2 linked regions of the Callithrix jacchus genome follow. The protein of the gene in region 2 binds, or shares a complex with, the protein of the main gene of each other region. Links are inferred from orthologs where the notes say so. Each region holds a gene or a part of one and is shown on either strand. Other genes may lie near its edges. The genes, in order: POLR2C and GTF2E2.

Evidence for each region.
Region 1: GTF2E2 (region 2) and POLR2C share a complex: the UniProt entries of both Homo sapiens proteins name them as parts of the TBP-based Pol II pre-initiation complex. The link is inferred for Callithrix jacchus from reciprocal best matches to the Homo sapiens genes GTF2E2 and POLR2C.

What each region holds. Positions count from the first base shown.
Region 1 is NC_133521.1:15,346,538-15,349,596, reverse strand, and holds part of POLR2C (DNA-directed RNA polymerase II subunit RPB3), read right to left. Parts: intron 1,184-3,059; coding exon 1,055-1,183; intron 330-1,054; coding exon 278-329; intron 57-277; coding exon 1-56. UniProt on the Homo sapiens protein: Core component of RNA polymerase II (Pol II), a DNA-dependent RNA polymerase which synthesizes mRNA precursors and many functional non-coding RNAs using the four ribonucleoside triphosphates as substrates.
Region 2 is NC_133514.1:31,805,977-31,810,505, reverse strand, and holds the start of GTF2E2 (transcription initiation factor IIE subunit beta), read left to right. Parts: upstream 1-1,669; 5' UTR 1,670-1,879; intron 1,880-1,944; exon of another isoform or gene 1,945-2,573; intron 2,574-3,228; exon of another isoform or gene 3,229-3,248; intron 3,249-4,529. UniProt on the Homo sapiens protein: Recruits TFIIH to the initiation complex and stimulates the RNA polymerase II C-terminal domain kinase and DNA-dependent ATPase activities of TFIIH. Both TFIIH and TFIIE are required for promoter clearance by RNA polymerase.

The sequences.
Region 1 (3,059 bases), on a different chromosome or scaffold from region 2:
GGCATAGGCCCGAAGTCTCAGCTCCTGGCCCTTTCTCAGCTTGACGATGAGAATGTCTGCAGGGGGAGGTACAAGTCAGTCAAGGCCCTGGAGAGAGACGGTTTTCCAAATTCTGACTTGGGAGTGCTACTGCAAGACGACACACATCTGGAAAATTGGGTCTAAAGCCAATTTACGATGAGACTAGACAGTACGAGGCTGTGCCTGGTGTCTGCATCCCACTGGCCCACACAGTGACAGGTCAAGAAGATGTCTGCACTTTCACTCCATGGCTTACCATCCTGCTCCACGTAGTCATTGGGGTCATTATCTCGGTTCCGGGATGTCACCTGTAGGGAGGCCAACAGGCATTCATTAGCTGCTCACCTCCCCAGTCACTTCCTCTGGCATCCAACTCCCAAAACCTCTAGACTGTAATCTGTCAATGAGGGAAGGGGCACCTAACAAGGCGGTGGCACAGATGTCCCCGAGGACTCCAACCCCTACTTCATGTTGTGGTGATAGCCTCAGGCAAAACAATTCCATGGCCTTCAAAAGAGTCTCTGGGCAATAGAGGGTGCACAGCACCAGCAATGCTAATGATGCAACGATGCCCAAGAAGAATCCAGAATTAGAACTTCTAGGGATCAGATTAAGGCAGAGGGTAACAGGGAAAGTCAACATTTTATAAGGATCAATCCCAGTCTGGCCCACTTGGAGCCAGAAAGAGAAAAGATCCCAGGGAAGCCAGGCACAGTGGCTCATGCCTATAATCCTAGCACTTTGGGAGGTTGAACAGGTGGATCCCCTGAGGTCAGGAGTTCGAGACCAGCCTGACCAACATGGAGAAACCCCATCTCTACTAAAAATACAAAATTAGCTGGGCTAGTGGCACATGCCTGTAATCCCAGCTATTTGGGAGGCTAAGGCAGGAGAAGTGCTTGAACCCGGGAGGTGGAGGTTGCGGTTAGCCAAGATCACACCATTGGCAACTAGAGTGAAACTCCGTCTCAAACAAACAAACAAACAAACAAAAAAAGATCCAAGGGAAAAGAGGATGCTGTCCTGCACTGACCGGAATAACCCGGGGGCTGTTGGAGATGAGGTCTCGAGATGTGACATGTCGAGTCTGGTCTTCATTGCACCGCACGTCGAGGGTGAACTCCACTGAGCACTCAGGGCAGAACTCCTCACATGTGCAGTCCTGAGGCAGGAAGAGAAGCAGAAATGAGTCTATGGGGGAGATGGCGACTCCTGCCTTGGCTCCCTGCATCTAATACCCAGTTCTTTAAGTTTCTTCACCTGTAAAAAGGGATTGATCAGTCTCCAGGTTCTTGTGGGCTATAACAATCTGGTATACCATTCTCACGGACTGCCCAAGTTTAGAGACAACTTATACATACACTAGCACCACATTTCCTTCCTACTGGAACCAGCTGCCAGGCCACCTCTGCAGACACACTGCTAACATCTCACTCTGGCCCTTGAAGTAGTCTTTCTCAGAGAAGCAAGGCTATGAGGGAGAGGAGGATGCTTCCACACTCTATAGTTCAGCTTCCCAAGAACTAAGTGGACCAGCTTGGGAATGTAACCACCATTTAAAATAAAACCAACAAGGAACAGAAAAAAGTACCTTTCAAGTTCTAGAGTACTCACCTTTTCTAAAAAAATCCTTTCTATTATGGAAAACTTCATACATATACAAAAATAGAGAAGCATGTAAGACACTGCCATCCCATAACCATCAACCACCTTCCATAATTAGTAAGTTTGCCATTCTTAAAACAACTGGCTCATACCCATGTTAGGGACTACCAACTGCAGTTTAACTTCAGGCAAGAAGAGAGTTACTAGGATGCAATCAAGCAAGCTGTTTTCTCCCTCACACTAGTGAGGAAAACCCAACATTCTTTTGATGTTTGCCTGATAAGGAAGAAGAAGCAACTAGAGGTCCCACCTGAGATGTCTGCAGTCACACACAGGTAAGGAAGGAAGGCAACCCAGACCCCAGAGGCAGAATTACTCTTAGAAATATGAAATGGAGCTGGGCACAGTGGCTCACACTTGTAATCCCAGCACTTCGGAAGGCTGAGGTGGGAGAATCACTTGAGACCAAGAATTCGAGACCAGCCTGAGAAATATGGCGAGACCCTGTCTCTACAAAAAAGTACAAGAAAATTAGCCAGGCATGGTGGTGCACAGCACCTGTAGTCCCAGCTACTCGGGAGGCTGAGGCAGGAGAATCACTTGAGCCCAGAAGATGAGGCTGCAGTGAGCCGAGATCATGCCACTGCACTCCAGCCTGGGTGACAGAGTGAGACTTATCTCAAAAAATAGAAAAATAAAGAAACATGAAATGAGAGAATCAAAATGTAATGGAAGATTAAAAATATGAAAAGGTACTCAACCTAAAAAAATGCACTGAAAGGAGAAGAGTCTGTTTGAGATGAAGAGACTAAAGAGCTATAAGGACCAAATGAATCTTGATCAAGACTGATCCACAAACAAACAGGAAAACAATAAAGAATATTTGGGGAACTATGAAAATATGAATATTGATATTACAAATTGACGCTTACTTTCTTAGGCATAATAAAAGTGTGGTTACGTAGGAAACTATTCTTATTAGGAAATGCATGCTGAAGTGTTAGGATGTCTCTGCAACTTTCACACAGTTCAGCAAAAATAACAACCATATGAAAAATAAAGCAAATGTAAAATATTAATAACTGGTAACTATAGGTGAAAAGTAAAAGGGTACTTATTATTCTAGTTTTAAAACGTTTCTACAGATTTTCAGAAAAAGCCAGAGAGAGATAAAGATATATATATATATATATATAGAGAGAGAGAGAGAGAGAGAGAGAGAGAGAGAGAGGGAGGGAGGGGGGGAAAGAGAAAGAGAGGGAAAGAAAGAAAGAAAAAGAGAGAGAGAGAGAGATACCAAGCCATCTTTGTTCAATAAATACTAGAAAAAAATTTAATGAAAGGAACTGCTAGGTGATAGAGCATGCACATATATATATTATGACAAGTCTCGCTCTTGACCCTCAGGCTGGAGTGCAATGGTGCGATCTTGG
Region 2 (4,529 bases):
GTATAAGTTTCTTACTCATTAATAACGGAGCCAGCAGAATCACAAAACTGATTTCTACCAGTTCTGAAAAATGAAATTTATATAATCGTCGGGGAAAGGAATGCTGAAATAAGACTGCTCAGTTGATACAAAAATGGTTTAATTTTTCTCAGAACAATGCAACCTTAATCCTTGGGATTTTTTTTTTTTAATACATACTGAATTCCCTGCCCCTTTCTCCCCTTACTCCTCATCAGTTTCCTACTAGTTCTTTGATTTTATCCTTTTGTAAATATTCTCGGCCCTAATCAATTGTGATTCAAACAAAGTTACATTTTCTGTGCATGTCAGATGATCATCAAGTAGGCTTATTACAAAATTCTCTAGAATGAAACTAATCAAAAAGATCACAAAATATTGTCTTTCAACTTTTTTCTCCAAGTTTTGAATAAAATTTTAGGTATTTTCTCATTTAATTTTCACCACAGTCCAGTGCAAGTAACTCATTGTAGTAGTACAATGATTATCCCCATTTCCCAGATGAGAAACCAAGCCACAGGTTCAGTAACTTGAGGAGTAATCAGTAACAAGTAATTAAATTAGAGCCATAGAATGGCTGAGAGCTGGCTGTACTACCACTTTAGGTTACAAGACTGAGGGAAGTTCTCCACGCTGCAGGGTTCGGGCAACGACAATTATTTTTCCAATTGCTTTATTTTCACCCATTCATCGTGCTTCTGAATCCAAAATCCTTTCCTAAGACAGTTCACAAGGGCGGAGCCTGGGCTGGGCTCCACATCAGGCTGCCTTTGCTAGTTATGCTGTCTTGAGAAAGTTGTTTATTAATTAGCTTTCTGGGCCTCTGTTCTTCGCTGTAAAAGGGCTGGAACCGCCTTCTCGGAGGGCAGGTGACGGTGGGTGGCACTGGGGTAGTCACAAAATAACCGTTGAGGCCGGGCGGGATGGCTCACGCCTGTAATCCCAGCACTTTGGGAGGACGAAGCAGGCAGATCACTTGAACTCAGGAGTTTGAGACCAGCCTGGGCAACATTGTGAGACACTATTAATACAAACAATAACAACAATAACAAATATTGCCCGTCCTTGTGGCACTCGCCTTTGATCCCAGCTACTCTGGGGGCTGAGGTGGGAAAATGCCTTGAGCCCGGGAGGCGGAGGATCATCACAAACCAAGTCTCCAAAAGGTAGCAAAAGAGAGGGAAAGTAGAAAGGTTGAAAGAGGTTAAATGGTGGCAGGAATCGTGGGCTTGGAGCCCCAGTGAGCCGAGACAGCGCCACTGCACTCCAGCCTGGGCGATCGAGTGAGATCCTGTCACTAGTAAGAAAAAGACAAAGAAATCAAAATAATCCTTGAAAGACAAGAGTCGCCGATTGGGTTCACCACAACCCAGCGCACTCCGGGGCAGGCTGTAGCAGCTTTAATTAAGCGTCCGTAAAGAAAGCCCCCTTTCCTCATCCCTGGCACCGCCTCCCATCTCAGTCCCCTCCTCGGCCCCGCCCCCAGCATTCCCTCGTTGTCATGGAGCCCACAGGACGCCCGAGCGGGCTACTTCTGCTCCCGCGGCACCCAAGACAGGGCACGCAATGACGCATGCGCGCGCTCGGCGGCCATGGCGCCGCGGTGGCTGCTGGGACTGAGCTCTTAGCACCCGATCGGGAAGTGGCGGGCGGAGTCCCGGGTCGAGTCGCCGCCTCAGCAACCACCGCCGCTGCAAGTGGCGAGACCCCGACCTGGCGGGTCCCCGCTGGGGGAGCGTGCGGGCAGGCGGGGGCGCTGACGAGGAACAGGAAGAGGCTGCCGTGCCGGCGTGGGCGGCTGGCCGAGGCGTAGGCGGAGGGAGGCGGTGGCGAGTCGCGCGGGGCTGCCCTAATCACTCAGGTAGGGGCTGCGGCCGCCGGGTGAGGGGAGCGGAGCCCCGGCCTGCTGTTCCCCGGGACCCAGGCGCGTCGCCGCTTCCCGGGGGGCCGAGCGTGACCTACACCCCACGGGAAGCTGGGGCCGCCGTTCTCGACGCGAAACACCCAACACGCGAACGGTTCCCCCAGCATTGTCTTTAGGCCGGAGGTTCATTGAGCAAACTTTTGGATTGGGAAGAGGGAAAATTCGCGGTCTGCTGACTGTGCCTTCAAGCCTCCAAGTTCACGGGCGCGGTAGCCAAGCGAACCGCGTGTGGAGTTTCGGGAGCCACGGTGTTCCAGCCAGCTCAAGGCTGTGATTTAGATTCTCATACGCGAACTGGTTTCTAGGCTACCTTTTGGAGAGTTGGTTTGTGATGATTCCTAAACTTTAACGGTAGTAATTGACTTCTGCAGTCTAAAGATGTTTTCCACACAATAAGGCTGCGGCCCCCTTTTCGCCCACCTCCCAACTGCTGTCATTTAAAGGCGAAGCAGCCCGATGTTCATAGCCGGGTGCTGAGGTGCCCTGGACACTTCTGAGGCTTGGAAAGAAGCAAAAGAGAGGGAAAGTAGAAAGGTTGAAAGAGGTCGAATGGTGGCAAGAGTCGTGGGCTTGGAACCATCAGCTTTTCGTTTAATTTATGGGTTTTCCATATCTACCCACGGAGAAACCGGTGAACATTTTGAGTTGTGGTGGTAGTTTGTTTTGTTTTAATGTAAAATGGACATAGTGATGTAGCTTGTTTACTACACAGGTGGGTCCTGAGATCTTAAACTTAGTACAAATATTGAGTAGTCTTTGAAAAAGGAGGAGAAGTTAGAGCATGTGATGGTGAAAGACATCGCGAAGCCTTCTGCTCTAGGTGCCTTTGAATGTTCCAGAACCTCGTAGGTCGCCTTTGTTTTAAAGGCCTTTACCAGCGTTCCAGGTCTGGTGTAAGGAGCATTCGACTTAAGAGTCAGGAGGTTTGGGTTCTGACCCTGGTTCTTCCATCGGTGCGACCTTTAATCAGACAGCTTCACTTTCACATTTCACGTATTAAAATAGGAATAACACTAACAACTTTTCGCTCCGAGAGTTGCAAGGGTCAAATATTGTAAGCATTTAGTTTGCTGTAAACTGTACGGGTTTATTTAAGTCTTCTAAGGTCATTTTTTAAAAGTCTGGATTAAGGTCCTGCCTTAATCAAAGGTGAAATTGGATTAAGGTGAAATAAAACACAGATTTTTTTTGTTTTAGGAATTTACAATCTGCTTGTTGCCCCCACCTTCTCAATTGATAATTCTCCTTTCTTCTTGTCCTCACGTTTTCCCTCCTCCCAAGGCTGTCTCCTATCTTCCTCAGCCCGGTAAATCATTCTCTTATTTTTTTTCAGATCCAACTCAAAATAGTAATACTAAAATAACATGTTTTTATGACTTTACTATTTAAAAAATAACGTACACATTTTCTCATTCTTAAAATTGGGTTGGATCGTGGACAGCGTTGGCAGCGTCTTCATTTTACTTGTGAAATTGAGTGTAGTGGCCTTGTGGGTTGCCTAGCCATGTGGCTCTTAGGAATTGAAATGAGGCAGGCCGTGGTGGCTCTGCCTGTAATCCTAGCACTTTGGGAGGCTGAGGTGGGTGGATCACTTGAGGTCAGCAGTTCAAGACCAGCCTGGCTAATGTGGTGAATGAGCCCCTCTCTACTAAAAATACAGAAATTAGCCAGGTATGGTGGTGCACACCTGTAGTTCAGCATCTCGGGAGGCTGAGGCAGGCAGGAGAATCGCTTGAGCCCAGGAAGCGGAGATTTCAGTGAGCTGAGATCACACCACTGCGCTCCCACCTGGGCAGCAGAGAGAGACTGTTTCAAAAAAAAAAAAAAAATTGAAATATTTATTTTTCCATGCACACTTCAGAATCATTTACAAACAAAAACTTTGTTTAAATTTTGAAAATATGTTAAATGTATGCTCCATATATTAAAATAATAACTCAAAAAAACTGAGAGAAGGCAGGTTTTTGATTCACCATCCAGTGATTCTTCACGCCTTAACTGAAATTCACTCTGATTATTCCTTACTAATGCTTATATTTTAAGTTTTTAGCTCAAGGCTTTCATTTTCTCAAATCTAAGCAGCATGCAGACTAGGATTTATCCTCCATAACCTTTCAAAGCTTAGAGCACATGCCTTGCAAACAGAAGACACTTAATAAAGGCGTGTGTAACCAGTAATCATGGGACCAGAGCAATTAAAAGATCTTGTTCCATGTGTTGTTCATTTAACAAATATTTATTGAGCTATCCTGTGCTTAAAAGCTTTCAAAGTTTGAGTCTTTTTCCTCCCAGCTGACACTAGTCTTAACAGTGTCAAATTCATTTATATAGTCAGCTTGAGGTCTTCCTAGACCCTCTGCAGGGTACTAGCAGAGTTCAAAAGAAAGGAGTGTTTAGAATTCTTGTTGGTTGACCTGTAGCTTCCTTGATTGTACTGAAATTGCTTAGGGTTGTAGTTTTAGAACCGGACAAACAGCCACAATATAGAAGTTGTTTCAGACCACCTCCAGATTGGAAATTTTCTATAGACATTTTTTTTTTTTCCCCTTCTTGAGACAGGGTTTTGCTGTGTCATCCAGGCTGGAGT